3 linked regions of the Cricetulus griseus genome follow. The protein of the gene in region 1 interacts with the protein of each later gene in a pairwise test. Links are inferred from orthologs where the notes say so. Each region holds a gene or a part of one and is shown in the gene's direction. Other genes may lie near its edges. The genes, in order: Copg1, Copz2 and Copz1.

What was found.
Region 2: the proteins of Copg1 (region 1) and Copz2 interact in a two-hybrid assay, tested with the Homo sapiens proteins (2 studies listed by BioGRID). The link is inferred for Cricetulus griseus from reciprocal best matches to the Homo sapiens genes COPG1 and COPZ2.
Region 3: the proteins of Copg1 (region 1) and Copz1 interact in a two-hybrid assay, tested with the Homo sapiens proteins (2 studies listed by BioGRID). The link is inferred for Cricetulus griseus from reciprocal best matches to the Homo sapiens genes COPG1 and COPZ1.

Annotation. Positions count from the first base shown.
Region 1 is NC_048601.1:55,400,878-55,408,275, reverse strand, and holds part of Copg1 (coatomer subunit gamma-1), read left to right. Parts: intron 1-40; coding exon 41-284; intron 285-1,158; coding exon 1,159-1,234; intron 1,235-1,846; coding exon 1,847-1,950; intron 1,951-2,725; coding exon 2,726-2,851; intron 2,852-3,119; coding exon 3,120-3,188; intron 3,189-5,158; coding exon 5,159-5,301; intron 5,302-5,561; coding exon 5,562-5,733; intron 5,734-6,321; coding exon 6,322-6,419; intron 6,420-7,398. UniProt on the Homo sapiens protein: The coatomer is a cytosolic protein complex that binds to dilysine motifs and reversibly associates with Golgi non-clathrin-coated vesicles, which further mediate biosynthetic protein transport from the ER, via the Golgi up to the trans Golgi network.
Region 2 is NC_048600.1:110,000,188-110,008,161, forward strand, and holds the start of Copz2 (coatomer subunit zeta-2), read left to right. Parts: upstream 1-2,569; coding exon 2,570-2,689; intron 2,690-5,867; coding exon 5,868-5,949; intron 5,950-6,479; coding exon 6,480-6,571; intron 6,572-7,000; coding exon 7,001-7,056; intron 7,057-7,862; coding exon 7,863-7,940; intron 7,941-7,974. UniProt on the Homo sapiens protein: The coatomer is a cytosolic protein complex that binds to dilysine motifs and reversibly associates with Golgi non-clathrin-coated vesicles, which further mediate biosynthetic protein transport from the ER, via the Golgi up to the trans Golgi network.
Region 3 is NC_048595.1:399,664,400-399,671,797, forward strand, and holds part of Copz1 (coatomer subunit zeta-1), read left to right. Parts: intron 1-3,394; coding exon 3,395-3,463; intron 3,464-5,139; coding exon 5,140-5,221; intron 5,222-5,810; coding exon 5,811-5,902; intron 5,903-7,398. UniProt on the Homo sapiens protein: The coatomer is a cytosolic protein complex that binds to dilysine motifs and reversibly associates with Golgi non-clathrin-coated vesicles, which further mediate biosynthetic protein transport from the ER, via the Golgi up to the trans Golgi network.

The DNA of each region.
Region 1 (7,398 bases):
GATGTGAGCTCCTTGCTCAGCTAGACATTTGTCTCTGCAGGGTGGCTTTGAGTACAAGCGCGCCATAGTGGACTGCATCATCAGCATCATTGAGGAGAACTCAGAGAGCAAGGAGACGGGACTGTCACACCTGTGTGAGTTCATTGAGGACTGCGAGTTCACTGTGCTGGCTACCCGGATCCTGCATTTGTTGGGCCAGGAGGGGCCCAAGACCAACAACCCCTCCAAGTACATTCGCTTCATCTACAACCGTGTGGTCCTGGAGCATGAAGAGGTTCGGGCAGGTAGGTCTGAGCTGGGGTGATCCTGGGCGCTTAGCTTTTTTGCGGTGAATTTGCCAGTAAAAGGACCCAAACCCCCAGGGGCATGACCTCATGAGCTGTTTTTTATATTGTCAGAAAGACTTTATATGTCATGCATCTGGATAAATGATTTTCTACAATTTAATTTTTTTTAAAGGTTTCCTGTTTCGTGCTTAGAGGGTTTTTTTTGCCTTTTTTTATTTTATTTTATTTTTGAGATAGGGTATTGTTATATGGCCAGGCTGGCTCGTACTCGAAACCCTCCCGCTTCAGTCTTCTGTATGCTGGAATCACAAGTATGCACCACCATACCTAGGGTTTTTTGTTTTGTTTTGTTTTTAAACTTGAGATATAACACACACATAAAATTTACCTTTTTATATAAACAGTGATCTGGCAGTCTACCATCTTGTTCTTAATTTCATCTTATTTTCCATTTCCTACTTCTGTGCATCCTTAAGAAGATTTTCTTCTTTTGGCAGCTGGTGTTCACTATGTGATGGTTTATTTTCTCATATGCTGTACTCTCAGGCCTATTTACATACACACGAAGCTGTTCTGAGGTGAATAGCCTGACAGTGTTGATAGTGTCTGTGGCCTTGATCATTTGAAGGTAGCCCGTAGAGCCCTAGAACAGAAGCTACTGGTCTTCCCTTTTCTCCAATAACAGGAAGAAGTAGTTGAGGCCTGGGTAGCACCAGGATCCACCAGGATTGCACAAGAGTTGTTCTAGGATCGTATTGGTGCCACCCACTACCTCTTCTGCATGAATTCTCTGAGCACTAGTGGGCACCCTCAGCTCTCTGGCAGGTGGGACTGAGGAGCTGTTGGTGAATCATATTTACCTTGGAACTAGGTGCAGTGAGTGCTCTGGCCAAGTTTGGAGCCCAGAATGAAGAGATGTTACCTAGCATCTTGGTATTGCTGAAAAGGTGAGTCTGGGTGCAGAAGCCAGAGAGCATAACAGTGTCCCCTTGGTCCAGTCCACTGCTTTGTCCTTCCAAAGAATTTTTTTCTTTCTTTTTTTTTGGGGGGGGGGCAGGGTTTCTCTATGTAGCCCTGGCTATCTTGGAACTTGCCATGTAGACCAGGCTGGCCTCAAACTCACTGAGATCTACCTGCCTCTGCCTCCTAAGTGCTGGAATTAAAGGTGTGTACCACCATGCCCAGCAAAGATTTAATTATTTTTATCTCATTTGTGTGAGTTTTTGCCTGTGTGTATATCTGTGCACTGTGTGTGTGGTGCCTAGTACCTGCTGAGTCCAGAAGAGGGTGTAAGTATGTCTCCTATGAGCTCAAGGGAACCTCTGTGTATTTTGTGACATTTGGTTTGTCTTCTTTCCTGGGTGAGTTCTTTATTAGGGAGCTGTCTTCCACTCAGCTGACCAGCCCCTTGTATTTTATGCTGTCCATTTTAGAGCCTCCACTCTTGGCAGCTGAGCCTTAAGAGCTCTGCATCGCCCTGCCACCCCCATACAGCCCTACAGGGTCCCTTTGACACACTTGCTACACTCAGTCAGGGTTACCTTGTGTCCTGACCACAGGTGTGTGATGGATGACGACAATGAAGTGAGAGATAGAGCTACCTTCTATCTGAACGTTCTGGAGCAGAAGCAGAAGGCCCTCAATGCAGGTTATATACTAAATGGTGAGTCTTCTTGCCTGCCCAGGACCCAGCCCCCTCTTGGAGCCTTTAGACCTTCCTGCGGCCTTAGAGCAGGTGTGGTGTCCCTGACCCAAGACATCCAAGACCATACATGTTTCTCTGGACTTGTGTAGCAAACTCTTGGATTGATGTGATTTCAGAAGTGCCAGAGTCACATGGCTTGAACTTATGTCAGTGGCAATAGCCAAATAAATTGAAGTACTCCTTATGTGTTACTCTGGCTTGAACCCAGCTTACACATGCTTGGCAAGTCTCTACCATCATGTTGTATCCTCAGTCCAAAGCATTTGTTGTTGTTTTGAGATAGTATATCATTATATAGCTTAGGTTGGCCTGGAATTTTATGACAGTCTTCTTGGCTCAATGTCCAGAGTACAAAACACTCATTAATAAAAATGTTTAAGTCTGGTGTGATGGCTTTTGCTTTTATCCCAGAACTCCAGGGAGACTGAGGCTGAAGGATAGGAAGCTCCAAGTCAGCCTCAGCTACAAAGCAAAATGACATTTCAAATAAAAAAAAACAGTAATTAAAATGGAAACTTTTGTTGCCTTAGTAATTTTTCGAGTCACTTTGTATTTACCTACCCACCAACCCTCTGGGAAGGAGGATGAAGAGTAAGGCTCAGAGGTTCCATGGTTTTCTCAGCATCAGCACATCTAGTCTTCATAGTGGGGGACCCAGGCTTCTGTCCTCCCTAGGTGCATCATGTCTGTCTGTCATGCCTGCCAGGCAGAATGACCTCTCCACTGGCTTTAGGTCTGACCGTGTCTATCCCTGGTCTGGAAAGAGCCCTGCAGCAGTATACACTGGAACCATCAGAAAAGCCATTTGACCTCAAGTCTGTGCCTCTGGCCACCACCCCTGTGGCAGAACAGAGACCAGGTAAGGTCCTGCTCATCCCCAAGGCCCATGTGTCACCCTTGGCTGCAGAGTGGACCAGGATGGGTGGGTGTGCTGAAACGAGGGAGTAGCCTTTGCCACCTCTTGCTTCAGGCAGTGGAGATAGCCATGCTGATAAACTGCTGTTTTCCTTTCATGTTTCTCTCTTGGGAGAGCTGGCATTTAGAATGTCTAAGGAATAACATGGGTTCAGCAGCAGCATGCTGCTGTGACTGGAGCTGTGGGTCACCAGCTGTACTTGCTCTTGTAGAAAGCACCGCCACCGCAACAGTCAAACAGCCAGAGAAAGTGGCCGCCACTCGACAGGAGATCTTCCAGGGTGAGTATTGGTCAGTATGGTCAGAGTGACTTCAGAGCCTGCCAGCTACTGCTCATGTGGGACCTGGTCTCCACCTCTGATTGGATTCAGAACTTCAGAGGATGTATGTGCCTCCGTGGTAGAGTGCCCACTTAGCCTGCTGGAGACCCTGCCTTTCAGCCTAGCACAAAGACTTTTTAAAGAGAGTGGGAACTTTATTGGTTCCGGGGCTCTGGGTGATTGAGTGTACTGGGGCTTCATTCATGTTGGACTCTGAGTGCTTGTAGCCTGGCTGCCAGGATGTGTGATGGAGTGTAGCTAGAGTTCAGAGACACTGATGCTGTGTTTTTGATTCCTTATGTGTTCAGTCCATGTTGCCTTATAGACTAGTTTTGAAACTGAGAGACTGTTGTCAACTCGCTCAGCCCACCTCCAAACCTCTTGTCCTGTATCTCTTCAGTATTGCTGCAGTAGCACTTCCTGAAGCCTTGTGATGCACGTAGCTGACCAGTGACTACCAGGGAGAAATCTTGCCTTATAGAAGGGAAGAGATCAGAGTCTGAAGCTGTTAGAGGTGGTCACCTTTCTCAGACACCTGGCATGTGCCTCTTCAGCTTATGAGGAATACCAGAATTAGCCTGGCAGAGTCTTGGTAGCTTTGGGCCAGGAACAGGCCATGTTGCATAGTGGGAGTCTTACCTACAGGACAAAAAAAGTTTTATTTATTAACTTATTTATTTATTTATTTATTTGTGCTGGGATTGAACCTAGGGCCTCAAGCATGCTGGGTATACGTGTTCCAGTACTGAACTGTAGCCCTTGTTATCTTTGCTATGTTGAGACAGCATCTTTTTTTTTTTTTTTTTTTTTTTTTTTTTTTTTTTTTTTTTGGTTTTTCGAGTCAGGGTTTCTCTGTGGCTTTGGAGGCTGTCCTGGAACTAGCTCTTGTAAACCATTCTGGTCTCGAACTCACAGAGATTCACACCTGCCTGCCTGCCTCTGCCTCTGCCTCTGCCTCTGCCTCTGCCTCTGCCTCTGCCTCTGCCTCTGCCTCTGCCTCCCGAGTGCTGGGATTAAAGGCGTGCACTGCCAACGCCCGTCAAGACAGCATCTTAATGAGGTACATAGGCTAGCCTTGATTTCACTCTGTCCACGAGGCAGACCTTGAATTGGATCCTCCTGCTTTGACCTCCTGAGTAACCGGGGTTACAAGCCTGTGCTGCCATGTCTGGTGTTTCTGTAACATTCTGAAGTAGCTTATCATTAGCCATAACAGCACTCACTGTGATCTCAAGACTCAGCAAGCTGAGGCTGGAGGATCACAAAGTTGAAGCTAGCCTGGGCTACAGAGTTAGACCCTCCAAAGAAGTAGCTAATCGCTGGCCATATGCCTTAACTGGCCATTGCATAGGGTGGATTTGTCTTTCACTGAATTTGTAACTTCAACAGTACGCACCTCAATTCGTAGTCTTTTCCCTTTAAGAATCGTTGCCGAGGCTGGAGTGATGGCTCAGCAGTTAAGTGCACATGCTGTTCTTACAGAGGACCCAAGTTCAGTTCCTGACACCCATGTCAAGTGGCTAACAGCTGTCCCCTTCAATCTTAAGGGGGGGGGAGGGAGAGAGGGAGGGAGGGACGGAGGGACGGAGGGAGAGAGAGAGAACCATTGATGAACTAACGGTAAGGATTTTCAGGTGGATTAGGCTGGGGCTTGGGGTCCCGTACTGGGTGAATTGCTGCAGAGGTCTTATCTTCCTGGAGGGTTATACAACTTGAAGCAGGCAGAGCTGAGGAATGGGCAAGTGTGCCGAGGAGGAGTGAGCAGCCAGTTGGACACGCGCCTGGAACTAGCTCTTCTTTCCTGGGTGAACTTCCCTCCTGAGGAACTTTTCCTGAGGAACTTCCCTCTCAGGGATGGTATGAGGCCTGGGGGTTCAACACAAACTGGTGTGAGATCCAGAAACCAAGTTAATGTCATCTGTGGATTTCAGAGCAGTTAGCAGCGGTGCCTGAGTTCCAGGGGCTAGGGCCCCTCTTCAAGTCCTCACCTGAGCCAGTGGCCCTCACTGAGTCAGAGACTGAGTATGTCATCCGATGCACCAAACACACCTTCTCTGACCACTTGGTGTTTCAGGTAAGCATGATAACCTGAGATCCTGCTGGTGCCTGTGCCTAGGAGCAGTCCCAGATCTGATGGGTCCTGTAGGGTTGACCATTGAGTTGGTTGGGGGCACCGCTTGATGACTGTACCTGTCACCAGCAGGTATGTCTCATCCCTCTTTGCCCAGGACTTCTCTAGCCTGTGAATGCCAACCAGGCAGAGGGCTGGGAATGGGGGGTGTATCCTGGCTCTTCCCGTATAGCAACAACTAAGCCCTACTCCTCCTTATCCAGTTTGACTGCACAAACACCCTCAATGACCAGACCCTGGAGAATGTCACAGTGCAGATGGAGCCCACTGAGGCATATGAAGTGCTCTCCTATGTACCTGCCCGGAGCTTGCCCTACAACCAGCCTGGGACCTGTTACACGTTGGTGGCTCTGCCCAAGGAAGATCCTACAACTGGTGAGCTCTCTGTAGATACCACCCAGGCTCTGTGGGAGTCTGTACATCAAGGATGGCACAAAAATTCCTTGATTCAAACATGAGAATTGTTCAGGCCCGAGTTCTTTTCATATATTATCTTATTTCATTCTCATAGCAACTCTGTGAGGGTAAGTTCTGCCTATTCTTGCTCATAGATGAGGAAACTGAGGCTTAAGTTAGGTGGGTTTATTAACTTAGAATCAAAGCCTGTCTGATCTTCAAATGGGTTAGTACTCTTTCATTATAGCACACTACCTCTCAAAGACAGGCACAAACACCCAAACATCTCAAATTTATTTCTCCAGTGATATTACCAGCTTTTTTTTTTTTTCCATCATGGACAGTGGCCTGCAGCTGAGGCATGGTCTTAGCCACTCTGCATTGTCTCTGTTTCTTTGGTCTTTTCTTTGGACCTGTGACTTGACATTCCTGTCCTATGAGGTGGTGCCTTTGTCCAGCATGCTGGGGCTGATGGCATAGTGGCTGTTACTAATGCAGCCTGAAGGGCAGGACATGTCCACCTGACTGTGAAGGAGCTTGTCTTCATCCAGCCCTTCTTCCCCACAGTGGCATGCACATTCAGCTGTGTGATGAAGTTCACCGTTAAGGACTGTGACCCAAACACTGGAGAGATTGATGAAGAAGGCTATGAGGATGAATATGTGGTAAGAGGACAGTGTCAGGGACTGAGGACATGAACTGTCTATAACTTCAGTTACGGGCTCTGATGGCTTCTGGCCTTGGCAAGCACCGCATGACTGTGGCACATAGTACATATATATCCATACACGTGTACAGATTTTTACGATTTTTTTTTTTTTTTTTTTTCTGAGACAGGGTTTCTCTGTGTAGCTTTGGGAGCCTGTCCTGGAACTTGCTCTGTAGACCAGGCTGGCCTCAGAGATCCACCTGCCTCCGCCTCCCATGCTGGGATTAAAGGTGTGCACTACCATACCACCTCCTGGCTTTTTACATGCATTTCTGATAATTTTCTTAGGATAAATTCCTAATTGGCTCAAAAAGAAAGCATGAAGACTTTAGTCACTGTAGTTGAATTGCTTTCTACGTAAATTGGGCCCCTGTGCTCTGCTGGGCCGCAGAGTCTCGTAGTCAATAGAATACATCTGCATTCACCCTTGTGTATTGTAACAATCGTAGTAGAGAAGAGCCATTTCTCAGCCAAAATGACTGAGGTGAGAACTGCCTTAAGACTTGTCCCCTGGGGAGCTGCAGCTGAGGTAGTCCTTTCACTGTAGTAGTGGCTGTGTGTTCGATAAACACCCGCAAGAACAGATTTCTCTGAAGATCTGTTGGAGGAAAGAAGAAAGAGCCTTGGTGTGGACACAGTTCAAGCTGGCTGAATGGGAGTATTAAATGTCAAGTCAGCTGAGATGACAATAGGGTCCAGCCTATGTTGGGCCTCGAGGGCACAGCTAACGTACAGAATCTGCTGAAGAATTGGCTGCTGCCTGTTGAAGGAGGGCCACTCTCACTGAGTTGCCTTGGGATGGGTCCCAAGGTAACTTTTTCTGTGTCCTTAAGCCCACCCTGTCCCCACACTGGCAGATAGATATCTGCAGGAAAGAAGGGATAAGTAGATGAGTTCAGAGCAGAGGCCTAGAAGTGCAGAGCAGGAAGTCTTTC
Region 2 (7,974 bases), on another chromosome or scaffold:
GATATAAGCCATCATGCCTGGCTTTCGATCTTTCTTTCTTTTTTGTTTTTTTTTTTTCAAGACAGGGTTTCTCTGTGTAGCCCTGGCTGTTCTAGAACTCACTCTGTAGACCAGGCTGGCCCTGAACTCAGAGATCTGCCTGCCTTTGCCTCCCAAGTGCTGGAATAAAAGGTGTGACCCCACCCCCAGCAGAATCTTTCTTTCTTTAAGAATTTTTTGTTTTGTTTTGTGGGGAGCATTTGGGTTATGAGACAGGGTTTCCCTGTGTAGCTCTGGCTGTTGTGGAACTAGCTCTGTAGACCAGGCTGACCTTGAACACACAGAGATGCACCTGCCTCTGCCTCCCAAGTGCTGGGATTAAAGGAGTGTGCCACCATCTCCTGGCGAGAAATTCTTATAACTTTAAAAAACTGACTTGAGGCCGGGCTTCTGCCTCCCAAATTCTGGGATTAAAGACAAGTACCACCATACCCAGGAAAATATATTTATTTATTTATTTATTTATTTATTCATTTTTGTGTGTGCCTCCTTGTCTGTATGTGCACCACATGTATGTAATGCCTGTGGAAGCCAGAAGAGGATGCCAGATCCTCTGGAACCTGAGTTACAGGTGGTTGACAGCCATGTGATGTGAGAGTGGAGACTGAACTTGGGTATTGTGCAAGAGCAGCAAATACTTTTTAATTATTGATCCATTTCTCCAGCCCCTTTGATGAGGATATTTAAGAAGAAGCTTTCAGGCCAATAAGATGCCTCAGTGGGTGAAGGCTAACAGCCTAATTCCATTCCTCAAGACCCAGAAAGTAGGAGAGAACTGACTCCTATAAGTTGTCCTCTGACCGCCACATGAGTGCTGTGGAACACTGAATAACTAAATAAATTAGATAGATAGTGTAACTTTCAAAAAAAAAAAAAAAAGGTGAAAGTTGGGAAGAGAAAGGCTTGATGTGTTCAGTGGAAGGAAGCCTCGTGTGGACCATCTGAGATGAGTGATTGTGACACTCCACTCTGCGGCCCTCAAGGACAAAATGGGGGAAACTTCTTTCCGAAGCCTGGGAACTCTCCCACCTATTAGCCCAACCAACTTGAAAAAGTCACACGATGTCTGAAAACGCCTCCTTCCCAGGCATGGCTTTTGACAGACAATGAGAATGTTCAGTGTAAAAGGCACACACCATCAGTGTTCTGAATGGTTGGCCAGGCACCATTAAATACTTCACCGTGTGTGATTGCACTCTGGCCAGGATAGTCTGCAGGCTCAGGCTGGATTATGGGCTTGAACTACCCGCCTTTTCCTCCTCTGCATATTGAAAAATGCCTGGGGGAGGTGTTCCTAAGCCCATGTTTGTTTTGTTTTGTATTTTTCCCCCAAGGAGTATGAGAGGAGAACTCTTCTCCATGGAAGGGGTTGCCACCTATCTTTCTGATCGGCTTTGTCCTGAGATCCAAAAAGGTGTCTTAAAATATTTGTCCCAATAACACCTAGGAGTCCTGAGAAAAAAGTAAGCCTCGCCTATGATTCAGGCTGGCCCTGGACAGCCACGTGGACACCTCTATGAACCAAAGTGGCAGACCCCAGGGCCAGAAGAGGCAGGAAGAGGGAAGAGGGGCTTTGGGTTACCCGAGAAACTTGTGGGCACAGAGAGGGGCCCAGGAAGAAGAATGAGAAAGAAGCCAGGTGGGGAGAGGCGGTTCTGCGGAGTGGGGGTCGGGCGGGAAGCTGGCTCAGAGAGAGGGGAGACTCACAGGCCAGCCACGCAGTACTGGGCGGAGGGGCGGCGCCGCGGGGGACGGGCGCGGGGCGGGGCGGCGCTGTCAGTGCAGGCAGCGAGCGGAATGCAGCGGCCGGAGGCCTGGCCACGTCCGCACCCGGGGGAGGGGGCCTCGGCCGCCCAAGCCGGGGGCGCAGCGCCGCCCACCCGAGCCACGGAACTGAGGGTACGGAGCGTAGAGCGCTGGGTCCCGGGGCTGCAGGATTGGGGTGGGGGGCAGCCGACTTGCCTCGGGCTCCCGGGCTGGGAACTTTGTGCCACCACTGCCTAGCCCCGGAGAGCGAGCCCGGGCCCAAGGAGGGGAGAAAAAAGTTGGTCCCGGAGCGCACGGGCGAGGAGGCCTGGCCCGAGTGGAGTGTCGCGGGGCTGAAGTTCTGGGGGAGCTCACCAGCAGTTACAGGGACTGACTGCGGTGGCGGGAGTGGGGGTGAGAGTCTAGCGGGACGGACGAGGGAGGAGTGGGAGTGGCGCGGTGGTCTGGTTGGGCTCCCTTGCTCCAGGGTGATGGCCGCGCTTCTGGAGCTTGGGGTCAGCTGGACACAAGGAGGCTCGGCGCCGCTGTTCCCCGGGCCCAGGTTCTGTGATACACTCCGACTCGGGCTCTGGAGCAGTCAGTGCATGACAGAACTTGGGCCCGGTAGGACTTTCTGCACCCAGCGGGCACAGAGCCCACTCCTCGGACCTGCAGTGGAACATCTGCCTGGGAGTAGTAGAGTGGGCACCGGAAATAGTCCATGTGGCACAGGGTTGGGCTGGACCCAGCTCTGGATTGGGGGATAGCAGACTCCATAGAGCCCATGATATGGGTCCACTTTGAGTCAGGGGTGTCTTTCCTGTGTCAGTTTCAGGAACCTTCTCTCTACACCATCAAGGCTGTCTTCATCCTAGATAATGACGGGCGAAGGCTGCTGGCTAAGGTAAACCCTCACCACAGACACCCTGAAAGCAGTGCCACATGTCCAAGACAAACGGTCCCCACCCAGCCCATTTATCTCCTGTAGGAGAAACTCTGCTTTCTGGATGGCAGAGCAGCCCAGCCTAGATTCTCTAGAAGTCACTCTGTCCATGCTATGCCTTATCAGTCTGATGGCGCGGAGAAAGGGGGCCATTCCCTCTGTTTCTACTCATGTTTTCTGACATGTCTTCTCCTTGTCCTTGCTCTGACCAGGCTTGGGAAGCTCCACCAAAGGGATCAGTGGAGATCCGAGCTGGGACCTAGGAGCCCAAATCCCTAAACTGTAGACAAGGGACCCGTGTGCTTCTGTATTCCAGCGTATTTAGAATTAGGTGGACTTTGGGAGGCAGTGTTGTCCCACTCTCTAACTTCACAGATGCAGAAAATGAAGAGCAGAGAAGCACAGGGTTAGTGCCATAACTGATACCCAGACTTGGGGCTTGGATTGGAGGCTTCGGGTGGTTTTCATGGAACTCACTTTCAGTTGTCTGGCATCCATCCTACACGGCTTGGCTGAGATGAGTAAAACTACATTTGAAGCTAAGTCTCAGGTAGGCCAGGTGGTTCAGGAAGGGTGCTTGCCACAACTCCTGACAGCTTGAGTTGGATCCTGAATTCACTAGGGAAGAACAAATTCCCTCAGGTTGTCCTTTGATTTCCATACTTGCCCCTACAACACACACACACACACACACACACACACACACACACACACACACACACACACACAAACACACACACACTGATTAAGAAAAGGAAAAGAAAAAAAAAAAAACCCTAAAACTTCTGCCACTGAAAGCCAGGCAGTGTGGCACATGTCTTTAATCCCAGCACTCCGGGGGATCTCTGTGAGTCTGGGACCAGCCTGGTCTGCAGAGCAAGTTCCAGGACAGGCTCCAAAGTTACACAAGGAAACCCTGTCTCGGGAAACAACAACAACAACAAAAACCCAAAACAATCACTAAATAATATTCCTGCCACTGATACAATTAACTGTAGCAGAAATATATCATTTTTTTGTTTTGTTGTGGACCAGGTTGGCATTAAACTTGTCTTACTTCTCCTGCCTCTTCTTGAGGGCTGAGACCATAGGCAAGCATATAACACCACACCCTAACTTTTTTGTTTGTCTGATTTTTTTTAAAGATTTTATTTATTATGTATACAACATTCTGCTTCCATGTATATCTGCACACCAGAAGAGGGCACCAGATCTCATAACGGATGGTTGTGAGCCACCATGTGGTTTCTGGGAATTGAACTCAGGACCTCTGGAAGAGCAGTCGGCGCTCTTCACCTCTGAGCCATCTCTCCAGCCCTGTTTGTCTGATTTTTAAGACAGGGTTTCCCTGTGTAGCTCTGGCTGTCCTAGAACTCACTCCACTGACCAAGCTAGCCTCAAACTCAGAGATTTGCTGGGGTTAAAGGGCACCACCACAACTATCCTCCTAGATATTTTTGTTTGCTTGTTTTGTTTTTTGAAACAGGAACTCAGTCTATAATCAAGGATGGTTTGGAACTTACTGTGTAGCCCAGGCTAGCCTGGAAGTCACAATGATCCTGCCTCAGCCTCCCAAATGCTGAGACTGTTTGTGTGAACCATACCTTTTTTTTCCTTTTGAGACAGGGTCTCATGTAAGAAGGCTGGCCCAGAACTCTTGATCTTCCTCTTTCTTCCTCCCAAGTGTTGGGATTCCAGGCATATGCCACCACATCCAGCTATAACATCTAAATTAGATATGGGTTATGATTTTATTTGTTGGAGTTGAAACTTAGTTTTCGTAACATTCAAATGAGTTTGTTCACAATGGTAGGACCCAGCAGAGAATCTGCTAACTTAGCTGCAGAATTAACTACCGAAAATTCACATTTAAAAAATTGAGCTGGTCACACAGTGCTTTAGCAGATGAGCAGGGGTGGATCGGCATTACCAAAGCCTCTGGGGCCTCCTAGAAGGTCCTATCCTGGGACTCACTCTGTAGACCAGGCTGGTCTCAAACTCACAGAGATCTACCTGCCTCTGCCTCTGCCTCCCAGAGTGTCAGGACTAAAGGCATGTGGCACCACTGCCCAGCCTATCCTTGTTATATGTTAAGAAATTGAGGGTGGCTGGGTGGTGGTAGGGCAAACCTTTAATTCCAGCACTCAGGAGGCATAGGCAGGCAGACCCCTTGAGTTGGAGGTCAGCCTGGTCAACAGAGTGAGCTCCAGGACAACCAAGACTACAAAGAGAAACCCTGTCTGAAAAAACAAAAACAAACAAACAGAAAAATTGAGGATGAGTTGGGCAGGGGTAGCACATGCCTTTAACCCAACACTCAGGAGGCAGAGTGAGTTCAAGGCCAACCTGGTCTACAGAGCCAGTTCCAGGACAGCCAGGACTACACAGAGGAAACTTGTCTCAAAAATAAATAAATAAATAAAAACAAAACAGAAAAAACAAAAAACAAAAACAACACCCCTCCCCCAAAAAACCAAACATTTAAAAAGAAAGAAAGAAATTGGGCTAGCCTGGTCTACATATAGCAGGCCAGCCAGATGGCATAGTGAGACTCTATTTCAGAAATAAAATAAAAGAATTGAGACAGAGGCCTAAGAATTTAGGTTAGCAGCAAAGTACTTACTTGTCTATCATGCATAAGACCCTGGGTTCCATCCCTAGACCTGAGAAAAGGAGGGAAGGGAGGAAGGGAGGGAGGGAGGGAGGAAGGAAGGAAGGAAGGAAGGAGGGAGGGAGGGAGGGAGGGAGGATTGGGAAAGAGAAAACAAGCTGGGATGCAGCTCAGGGGTAGAATACTTATCTAGTCACATGTGAAGTCCTGGTTTAGAACCCAGCACTGCTGGAAGGAAGGAAATACAGGAGGAAGGAAGAAAAGGGAGGAGGGAGAGAGAGAGAGAGGGAGGAGGGAAGGGAGAGAGGGAGAAAACCAGATGAAGACTCCAAAGGCAGCCCCAGTATCTCCCTACTTTGATTTTCTTTGCTTGGAATTTGTTTATGGGGACCTGGAAGCGGGCAGGGCCTGGAGGGAGGTGACGAGGAGGCAGCTCAGCCAGCCCCAGCATTCCCTGCTTGCTAGTCCCCTCCCAAGGCTGGAGCTGGCTCTGTACAACGCCTATCGGCCTTCTTCTCTTTCTCACAGTATTACGATGACACGTTTCCCTCCATGAAGGAGCAGATGGCTTTCGAGAAAAATGTCTTCAACAAGACCAGCCGAGCCGAAAGTAATGCCTGCCCCTCCTCCACTGAGCCTCTGGGATGACTGGCCACCACTGTCTGTCATCTTCCCCATCTGGGCACATCTGTCCTTGTTGGCCTTCCACACCCACGGGCCATCCCTTCTCTGAGGCTCTTTGTCTTCTCCTCCCCAGCTGCTTTCCACTCCCTTCTTTCATTCATCCTGGGACCTTCACTCCCCATCACTCTCGTCCCTACCCCTCCTCTCTGTTGAGGAGGCCAACTGTGCTGTGTGCCCCTACACACACTTGGATCTGGTCCCAGGGCATTGCATGGGATGGAGGGTCGGTGGGAGTTCAGCCGCAGGCTGGGTTTGTTGACTCCTCAAGAGGGGGCCCTCTAAATACAAAGCACTTGGGATGGGCCCAAGGACACAGAGCAGCCTCCCAGTAGTGGTGGTCTGACTAAGACTTCCTTGGGAAAGGAAATAGGAAACAAAGAGCCATGGGGAGTAGAGACCAGGCTAGCCCCAGTCTGGGGCGGAGATAGACTGATTTGAAAGCCTTCCTGTTTCTAGGTGAGATCGCATTTTTGGGGGGCATGACCATTGTCTACAAGAGCAGCATTGACCTCCTCCTGTATGTGGTGGGCTCTTCCTCTGAGAATGAGGTAAATTTAGGAGGTTGGATGACAAGGAGAGTCTGTCCTGGGGTGGAGGTGGGTTCTGGATGCTCACTGTTGCTATCCTTCCTTTAGCATCTGGGGGTGGAAGGGCAGCCAGAATAGGTCTCTCTGTAATTGTACACACCCATAATGGCCCTTAGGTCCCTTGGGAACCAGAAATGAAATCATCACACCTTCTGTAGGGAGTTGTTAGTTCTTCCTAAGCATATTTAGAAAAGGAGACACACAGTGTATCCTCCAGGGGAGCACTCCAGTGCCCCCCAGCCCAAACCTTAGGAAGTGCTGCTAGCCTCCAACCAAGCTCTCTCTGACAAGGGAGTGCTCCCACCTGGCCCACACAGGAGCTCAGAGGCCTGCTTTGGGCCTCTCAGCTTCAGCTCACTTTTCTTCCTCCTCCCACACCCTCCTCCTCAGCTGATGCTCATGTCTGTTCTTGCCTGCCTGTTTGACTCTCTCAGCCACATCTTAAGGTAAGTGAGACCTTCTGCACTCCAAGGCCCCAGCCCCAGGCCTTTCCCTTTGTCCCAGAGGCAAGGCTCTTCTGCCCTGTGGTCCTCCTGGAATCTCTGCAACTCCCCTGACTTCTATGAAGCCCCAAGTAGAGCCATGCCCAAGTTATGATCAGATATCAAATCTCAAGACACTGAGTTGCCTGAGGTCACAGTACGCAAATCAACACAAGTTCCAAATAAAGGGAGAGCAGGGAGAGAGGAAAAGGAAGGTCTTGTTACACAGCCCACGTTGGCTTCCCACTCAGTCCCCCAGTGCTGGAATTACAGGTGTGTACCACCATGCCCCATATAAACAGTGTTTTTAACTTTAAGCTCAGAGTTGGTTTTCCCTGCATCCCCAATCAGTACTAATACCTACACCAGCAACATTGTGTCGGTCATGACCCCTGTGAAAGGGTCGTTCACAGGGGTCGCATGTATCCTGCATATCGGACATTGACATTATGATTCATAACAGTAGCAAAATTATAGTTAACAAGTAATAACAAAATAATGTTATGGTTGGGGGTCACTACAACATGAGGAACTGTATATAAGGGTCACAGCATTAGGAAGGTTGACAAACTGGGCAAACCAACCTAGGATGACCCAGCCTGCTCTGTGCTCAGGAGTCCCTGGCATCGGATCTGCTCCCACTGCCTTGCGTTCTCCTGCCTAGGCCTTGTTGGGAAGGGGGTATTGGGAAGAGAGGCGCTGCCTCACTTAGAGGAGTCATGGTTCCTTTTGGCCGCCCCGAAGGCTCAGGTGCTTGTGTCTGCCCACAGGAAGAACGTGGAGAAACGCTGGTTGCTGGAGAACATGGATGGAGCCTTCTTGGTGCTGGATGAAATTGTAGATGGCGGGTGAGGAGGGGATAGAGAGGAGGGATGTTGAGGA
Region 3 (7,398 bases), on another chromosome or scaffold:
GTTTCTTTGATCTTATCTTTTAGGAAGCCAGTGAATAGAGCCAAGAGCAGAACTCTGAGCTGTTTCTCGGTTGTCAGCATGGCTGTTTAGGTGCTTAGACAGTGTTGCCCACAAGAATGTTGGCTCTCCTACTTGGCAGGTGGCCATTAGGGATTTTGGCCTGTGCTGGGGTGGGGGTGTGTGCTCCCATTTCTTCCTGGAATGCCAGAATCTGGCTGTAAGAACAGTCACAAATGCCAGATTAAGGTCCAGTTTCAATTTGTGGGCAGCAAGCCCTCTAAGGTTGCCGTGAGTGTGGATGGAGGGGCATAACCATTTCCTTCTCTTGGCATGTTTTGTCCATTAAGGAAACTCATTCCCATTGAGGGCTGGATTTTGGTACTTGAGCAGCCAAGTTACTATAGAACAGAGCCTGCTGTGTGTGGTGATCTTTCTGTGTGGAGCTAGGACTTAGAAGAACAACTTCTGTTTGTGGCTTTTTAGACTAGACTCAGAAGACTTCCCTCTGCCAGACAGCACAGTTCCCCGGCTGCAGAGGAGGTGCTCCTGTCCATTGTTCTGGAGAGCAGTGTGTCTGGGGTGTTTTTTTGTTTTTGTTTTTTTTTTAAATATTTATTTATTTATTATGTATACAGTATTCTGTCTGCATGTATCCCTGCAGACCAGATCTCATTACAGATGGTTATGAGCCACCATGTGGTTGCTGGGAATTGTACTCAGGACCTCTGGAAGAGCAGCCAGTGCTCTTAACCTCTGAGCCATCTCTTCAGCTCCCTGGGGTGGGCAGTTTTAAGTGTGTCAGAGGAGAGGGTGGGTTGGTGATAATATCACTCCAAAATGGTCTCACTACAAAATCCACTTAGCTGTAAAAATCCAGTTCTAGTACACTGTCACAAGAGATTTCTTTTTAAACTTTATTCTCAATTTTGAACAAATATTGAGAGTTCAGAATGAATGTTCAGATTTCTTAGGTCATTTTCTTTTTTAAGACAGGGTTTTTCTGTGTAACAGCCCTGGCTGTCCTGAAACTCTGTAGAGCAGGCTGGCCTCAGACTCAGAGATCTGCCTCCCAAGTTCTGGGACTAAAGGTGTGCGCCACCGTTGCCTGGCTTTTATTGAATTTTCTTTTTCTTCTTTTATTTTTCAGTGCATTGGTGTTTTGCTTGCATGTGTCTGTGTGAGTATGTCAGATCCGGTGGAACTGGATTACAGGCAGTTGTTAGCTGCCGAGTGGATGCTGGGAATTGAACCCAGGTCTTCTGGAAGAGCAGTCAATGTTCTTAACTGCTTGAGCCATCGCTCCAGCCCTCTTATCCCATTTTCAAAAGACTGGGTTAGTGATCTGGAGAGAGAGGTCAGCAGTTAAGAGTACTGGCTTCTGCTGGGCAGAGGTAGCACCTATCTTTAATCACAGCAATTCAGAGGCAGAGACAGGTGGATCTCTGAGTTTGAGATCAGTCTGATCTACATAGAGAGTACCAGAACAGCTGGGACTACACAGAGAAACAGCACACTGGCTTTTAAACTGGGTGGTATAGTGGTGTGCACCTTTAATTCCAACACTAGGGAGGCAAAAGCAGGTGGATCTCTGTGAGTTTAAGGACAGCCTGGTCTAGAGTTTCAGGACAGCCAGAGCTACATAGTGAGACACTGTCTCAAAAAAAAATAATAAAATAAAAAAATTGTTGGCTTCTCTAATATGGAACTGGGTTTCAATTCATAGCACCCACATGGCATCTGTAATCCTACTTTTAGGGATGTCCTCTTCTGACCTCCAAGGGCACCAACCGTATAAATAGTGCACAAGCATACATGTAGACAAAACAGCCATGCACATCAAATAATAATATAAGTGATGGCATTTAGGAGGCAGAGGCAGATGGATCTTGTGAGTTTTCGGCCAGCCTGAACTACATATTGAGAGACCCTATCTCAAATAATAAATGAATAAATAAATAAATGAAGGTTAGAGAAACCTGGGTTAGGATCTCTGTGAGTTCGAGACCAGCCTGGTTTATATGAGCTAGTAGCTCCAGGACAGCCTCCAAAGCCACAGAGAAACCCTGTCTTGAAAACTAAAAAAAAAAAAAAAAGAAAAAAAGAAGAAGAGGAGGAGAAAAACCTTGGTTAATCCCCATTTCTCTTGAGCTAGGGTTGCTTTTCTACATGGAGCCCCACCCCTCCCCTCCTGGAGCCTCACTTTACCTCTATAGGGTTGCAATTTCTGGATCCTTGCAGTGATTCTTTCTTTTGCCTTGTGTCTTTGTTAAACACATGTTTAGAAGATGGGTGAGTTTCCTAAGACCAGAAAAGCAAAGCAGACAGTCTTGCCTTGGCACAAGAAGTAGCAGAAAGTATTTATTGGTGAGGTCATCAAATAATGTGAGCGACAGAGGCCTTCTGTACACAATGCCAGCTCTTCTCACTTTTCGCTTCTGAAAGTTATGAGGATAGAGGAGAGAACACCAGACTTAGTAAAACAGCTTTTCCTAAGTCATCTGTTTTCAGTTGAGGAAAGGTGTTAAGTATAACTGTCAGAGCTGAGGCTGTAGTGCCTCTGCTCCAATGTCAGCAATTCTGTTTCATTCTGGGATTTTGTTCTGCTTATAGGGGAATGGCTGGGGATTAAACTAAGTGCCCCATGCACGCTAAACGTGCACTGTAACACCCCTAAGCCTTAGTTCCATTCTTTATAGTGAAAGAAAACTCCCCTCCTGTTATCTACCTCCTGGACCCTAGGCTTCTCAAATATTTTCTTTTTACCACACTTAAGATTCAGGTTGATTTTTATTCTAGCAGACTAAGTGATAATGGTTCCTATATAGCAGAGGAAGAGTTTCATTCGTGAATTTTTGGTTGGTGTCTATTTCGGGGAACTGGTGTGTGTATGTGTGCACATGCGTTCACATGTGTGTACACAGTGCTTTTCTTCTGCTGTGTTTGGATGGTTTAGAGTGGCTTGCTTTAAGCCTCTGTTTTGGGACGGCAGTGACTTCTAAGTGCACAACCTTCTTTCATATGAGTAGCGCTCATTCATTAACATGGTCACATTCCATGCTCACCTGTGTCCAGGAGGCCAGGGAGGATGGGTGATTTGGAAAATGACTGGCCGTAGGACCTGGAAATAACAGTGTGACCTACCTTGATGGAGGCCTGTGAGTCAGACTGTTTTCTCTGAGTCTGCTTTGGAGCCCTCCCTCAGTTCAGTTCATCCTCCACTTGGTCATCCTCAGGGGGAGGTATTAGGCCTGACCATGCTGCAGTAGGGGACACACACAGACCCCTGTGTGACCCTTTGTAGCCCAGTGGGACCATGGAAGGAAGGAAGGAAGGTATTAGGCTTGCTAGTAGTGGTGGAGCCCTCAAAACTGAAGGTGTGTTCATGTTTCTTCAGGAGCCCTCCCTGTACACTGTCAAGGCCATCCTGATTCTGGACAATGATGGAGATCGACTCTTTGCTAAGGTGAGATTTCCTTTCTTATTAATTTAGGAGCAGGACAGAGACATTGGAGATTTAAGTGTTGGGATTGGCCCTACTAACTCAAATTCTTCAGGAGTATGATGATTTTGAGAGTTCTTCCACTTACCTTGCCCACTCCAGATAAATCCAATCTTCTGTCCCTTAGAGTGCTTTCTTCCTGCTGTGCTCAGACCTTTAGCTTCCTCTGTCACCCTATTCAGAGCAGGGAAGAACTTTAGAACCTTAGCTCCAAAACAAAACACTGTCTCAATGTTAGAAATGCCTGTCTATGTCTGTCCCATCTGTCCTGACTGTCCCATCTGCCCCTTCTCCTTTTGCCCCCTCCTCTTACCTTGTCACTCAGCCTGAGTTTGTCCAGGGAGTCTTCCAGTTTCTTACTTGTAGCCCTAGGTTTGTAGTCCTCACCATGCTGCATGCCCCATGAGGTGTTGTAACTTTGGATGCATTGAGCAGAGAAAGGACACCCCTCTCTTCTGTTCTCCCCCCCTGTAGAAATGTCTTCTGTCCCTGGTGTATTAACTCTGGGCGAGCAGAGCATAAATCAATCAGCAGGTGGAGATTAGTTAGAATTCACCAGCTGTTCCTCCCTGTAATTGGATGTAACTATGCAGGACACCTTTGGAAACAGTTATCCAGTTACTAAATGCCAGACCTGTCATAGGTCTTCAGCTGACTGCAACGGATTAGCCCCTAAAGAGCAGGCGCTTTAGCAGCCTGCATCTCCAGCCCCTTGCTAGGAGTGCTTGGGAGTGGGCTCAGTGCTCGACTGCCCCCTTCTCTCAGCAGGCAGAAAGAGCCAAGATGTGCAGGAGAACAGGGCATGGACTTACCTTGCTGTGAAAGAGATTTGTATGGCCTTTCTCCACTGCTCAGTAAAAGATTGGTCTTCCAGCCAGTGGGTGGTGGCCCACACCTTTAATCCTAGCATTTGGACACTCAAGAGGCAGAGGCTGGCAGATCTCTGAGTTCAAGGCCCTTAGGGCCTACAAAGCAAGTTCCAGGACAGCTAGAGCTACACAGGGAAATCCTGTCTTGAAAAACAACGCCCCCCCCCCCCAGGACTGGTCTTCCTCTAGTGAGGGAGAGTCTGAGGAAACATCCCTGCATTTAGTTTGGTTATTTCTCCAGCGCTGACCCTGACAAGGGCAGCTCCCAGGAAGCATGTGGTGGAGTCTCCTTAGGAGAGCTGGCAGGTGTCTGCCCTGAGTCTTAGAAATGACACGTGGGACTGTAGGATTGATGATAGCACAGTCCTTTCCTTTCCTTTCCTTTTTTTTTTTTTTTCTTTTTTCTCAGATTTATTGTGTGTGCTTCTTATAGAAGGCCAGAGAACAACTTTTGGAAGTTGGCTCTCTCCTTCTACCTTGTGGGTTCTGGAGATCAAACTCTGGTTGTGAGGCTTGGCAGCAAGCACTTTTTTCTTTCCCTTCTTTTCTTCCTTTTTCCTTTTTTTCCCCTCCCTCTCTCCCTCCCTCCCTCCTTCCCTCCCTCCCTTCCTGCCATTCCCTGCCTCTGTAGTCCTTTCTTGCCTATCTTAGTATTCCTCTCCCACCCCATGCCTTGAAGGAGAGACATACAAGATGCCAGAGTAGAACAGTCACTAATCATCTGGTCTCACAGCTATGATGACCCAACCCTGTCTCCTTTTCCTCCACTAGTACTATGACGACACCTACCCTAGTGTCAAGGAGCAAAAGGCCTTTGAGAAGAACATTTTCAACAAGACCCATCGGACAGATAGTAGGTCATTCTCCTTCACTATTCCCTGTGTTGGGGGGAACTATGGGAAGAGAGTGTCAGCAGGACTGCAGAAAAAGATAAAATGACTCGGCCTCCTCTTTCTTTTTTCCTCCTCCCCTCATATAATAAACTCTTCAGAAATGTAATGGGGAGGTGAGTGTACCTCACGCGGGAATACTGTGCTAGAAGCTTGGCTGTTAGCTACCTGTCTAGTCCCAGGATTTATGAGCCTCACTTGACAAATTTAACTGCAGCCCTGCTTATTGTACCGCATCCATTAGGGCAGGTAAATGGAAGCCTGTAAAGGTGACCGCTCTGCATTTTTACGTCCGAAGGATCGCTGGTATCCTGCCTCATACATAGGGAGGGAAGTAGGTGCAATGGGGGAGGGAGGGCTAGAGAACATCCATTTAAACTCCCTGAGTTTCTGTGTCCCTTCCGCTAACCCTAAACAATAAGATAGCTTCAGGGCTTGCAGGTTATTGCAGTTGGCCTTTCTTTAGCCCACGCAGCTGTCCCCAGGAATTCTCAGGGACTCCTGTTTTGTCTCCTCTTCTCCCACCATTCAGTATCTGCTTTCTTCCCCAAGGTGAAATTGCCCTGTTGGAAGGGCTGACAGTGGTCTATAAAAGTAGCATCGATCTCTATTTCTATGTGATTGGCAGCTCCTATGAAAACGAGGTGAGAATCTCTGCCCATTTGCTACCTCTGATGTCACTTCTGAAGCCATGGATGGGACACAGCCAGCCATTGGTTTTGAGCTTTGGAGAGCCACATTCCTCTGATATCTGGCAAGGTCATAAAGAAGTCGGTTAGAGATCCCTGTCAGTCTTACAGAATGGCCTAGCCAAAGAATCAGTCAAAGAGGAAGTTTTCCCAGGTCTTTTTTTTTTTAAGGGGCAGGATCTTACTGTTAACATAGGCTGTTTTCAGATCACATCTATTTTCCAGGTGCTGGAATTACAGGCCTGAGTCACCAAATCCAATTAGAATGTTTTTAGTGTCCTTTACTACACAGTGTTGTTGTAAATTTTGTTTGTTTGGTTTTGAGACAAGTGTCACACTGAAGCTCAGACTGGCTTCAAACTCACAGCAGTCCTCTTGTCTTAGCCTCTCCGAGGCTGAGATTACAGGTGTGAGCCAGTACACCAAGTTCCCACAGTGTTGTTAAGAGGGACTTGTGAGTGTAGTCCTGTTTGTTTCAGGTGGCAGCAACTTCTGGGAGAGTAGACAGGTAAATAAGCCACCAGATTATTTCCCATCACAGTTAAGAGTTTGAGAGACCAGATCCCACTGAGCTCTCACTGCTACGCATGTCTGTGAAGTACATTGTTTAAGCTTGGCAGCACTTCTGTGGGTTGGAGGTATTACTGTTTTTGTTTTGCCAACAAGGAAACGAAACTATAAAGAACCATATAAAATTACTTGTATTTGGCTTTTGTCAAATTACAAAAGTAGCTGTTTCATGAGATTCGGCCCATTTTCTCTCTCAGGATAACACATGTAGAATCAGCAGAGATTTAAACCTAGTTCTGACTCAAGAGCCCAAGCTGGGGCTGGAAATTAAGCTTAATAGTGAAGTGTATGCTTAGCAAATTTGAAGCCTTGGCTTTGATCCCTAATACCATTTTTAAAAAGGGCCTCGGTGGGGGGTGGGGGGGCTGGAGAAATGGCTCAACAGTGAAGAGCGCTGGCTGCTCTTCCAGAGGTTCTGAGTTCAATTCCCAGCAACCACATGGTGGTTCGTAACCATCTATACTAGGATCTAATGCCCTCTTCTGGCATGCAGGTATACATATAGAGCAGCACTCATACATAAAATATGAATAAATAAACAAATTTTTAAAAAGGACCTTCTGCCACTTTCCTCTAGCCTCAGCTTTTGCTTGGTTAATGATGTCTGTCTTTACTAATCCATCAGGTAGCTTGGTAAAGACAGAAATAGGGGCTGAAGATGGCTCAGCTGTTAAGAGCACTGGCTGTTCTTCCAGAGGACTTGGTTTGATTCCCATGTGGCTCACAACTGTCTATGACTCCAATCCCAGGAGATCCAGTGCTTTCGTCTGGCCTCTTTGGGAACTACACATATGTGATACACAGCTATACATGCAGACAAACATACCCATAACATTAAATAAACTAACTTTTAAAGAAACATAAAAGCAGAGAGGCATGAC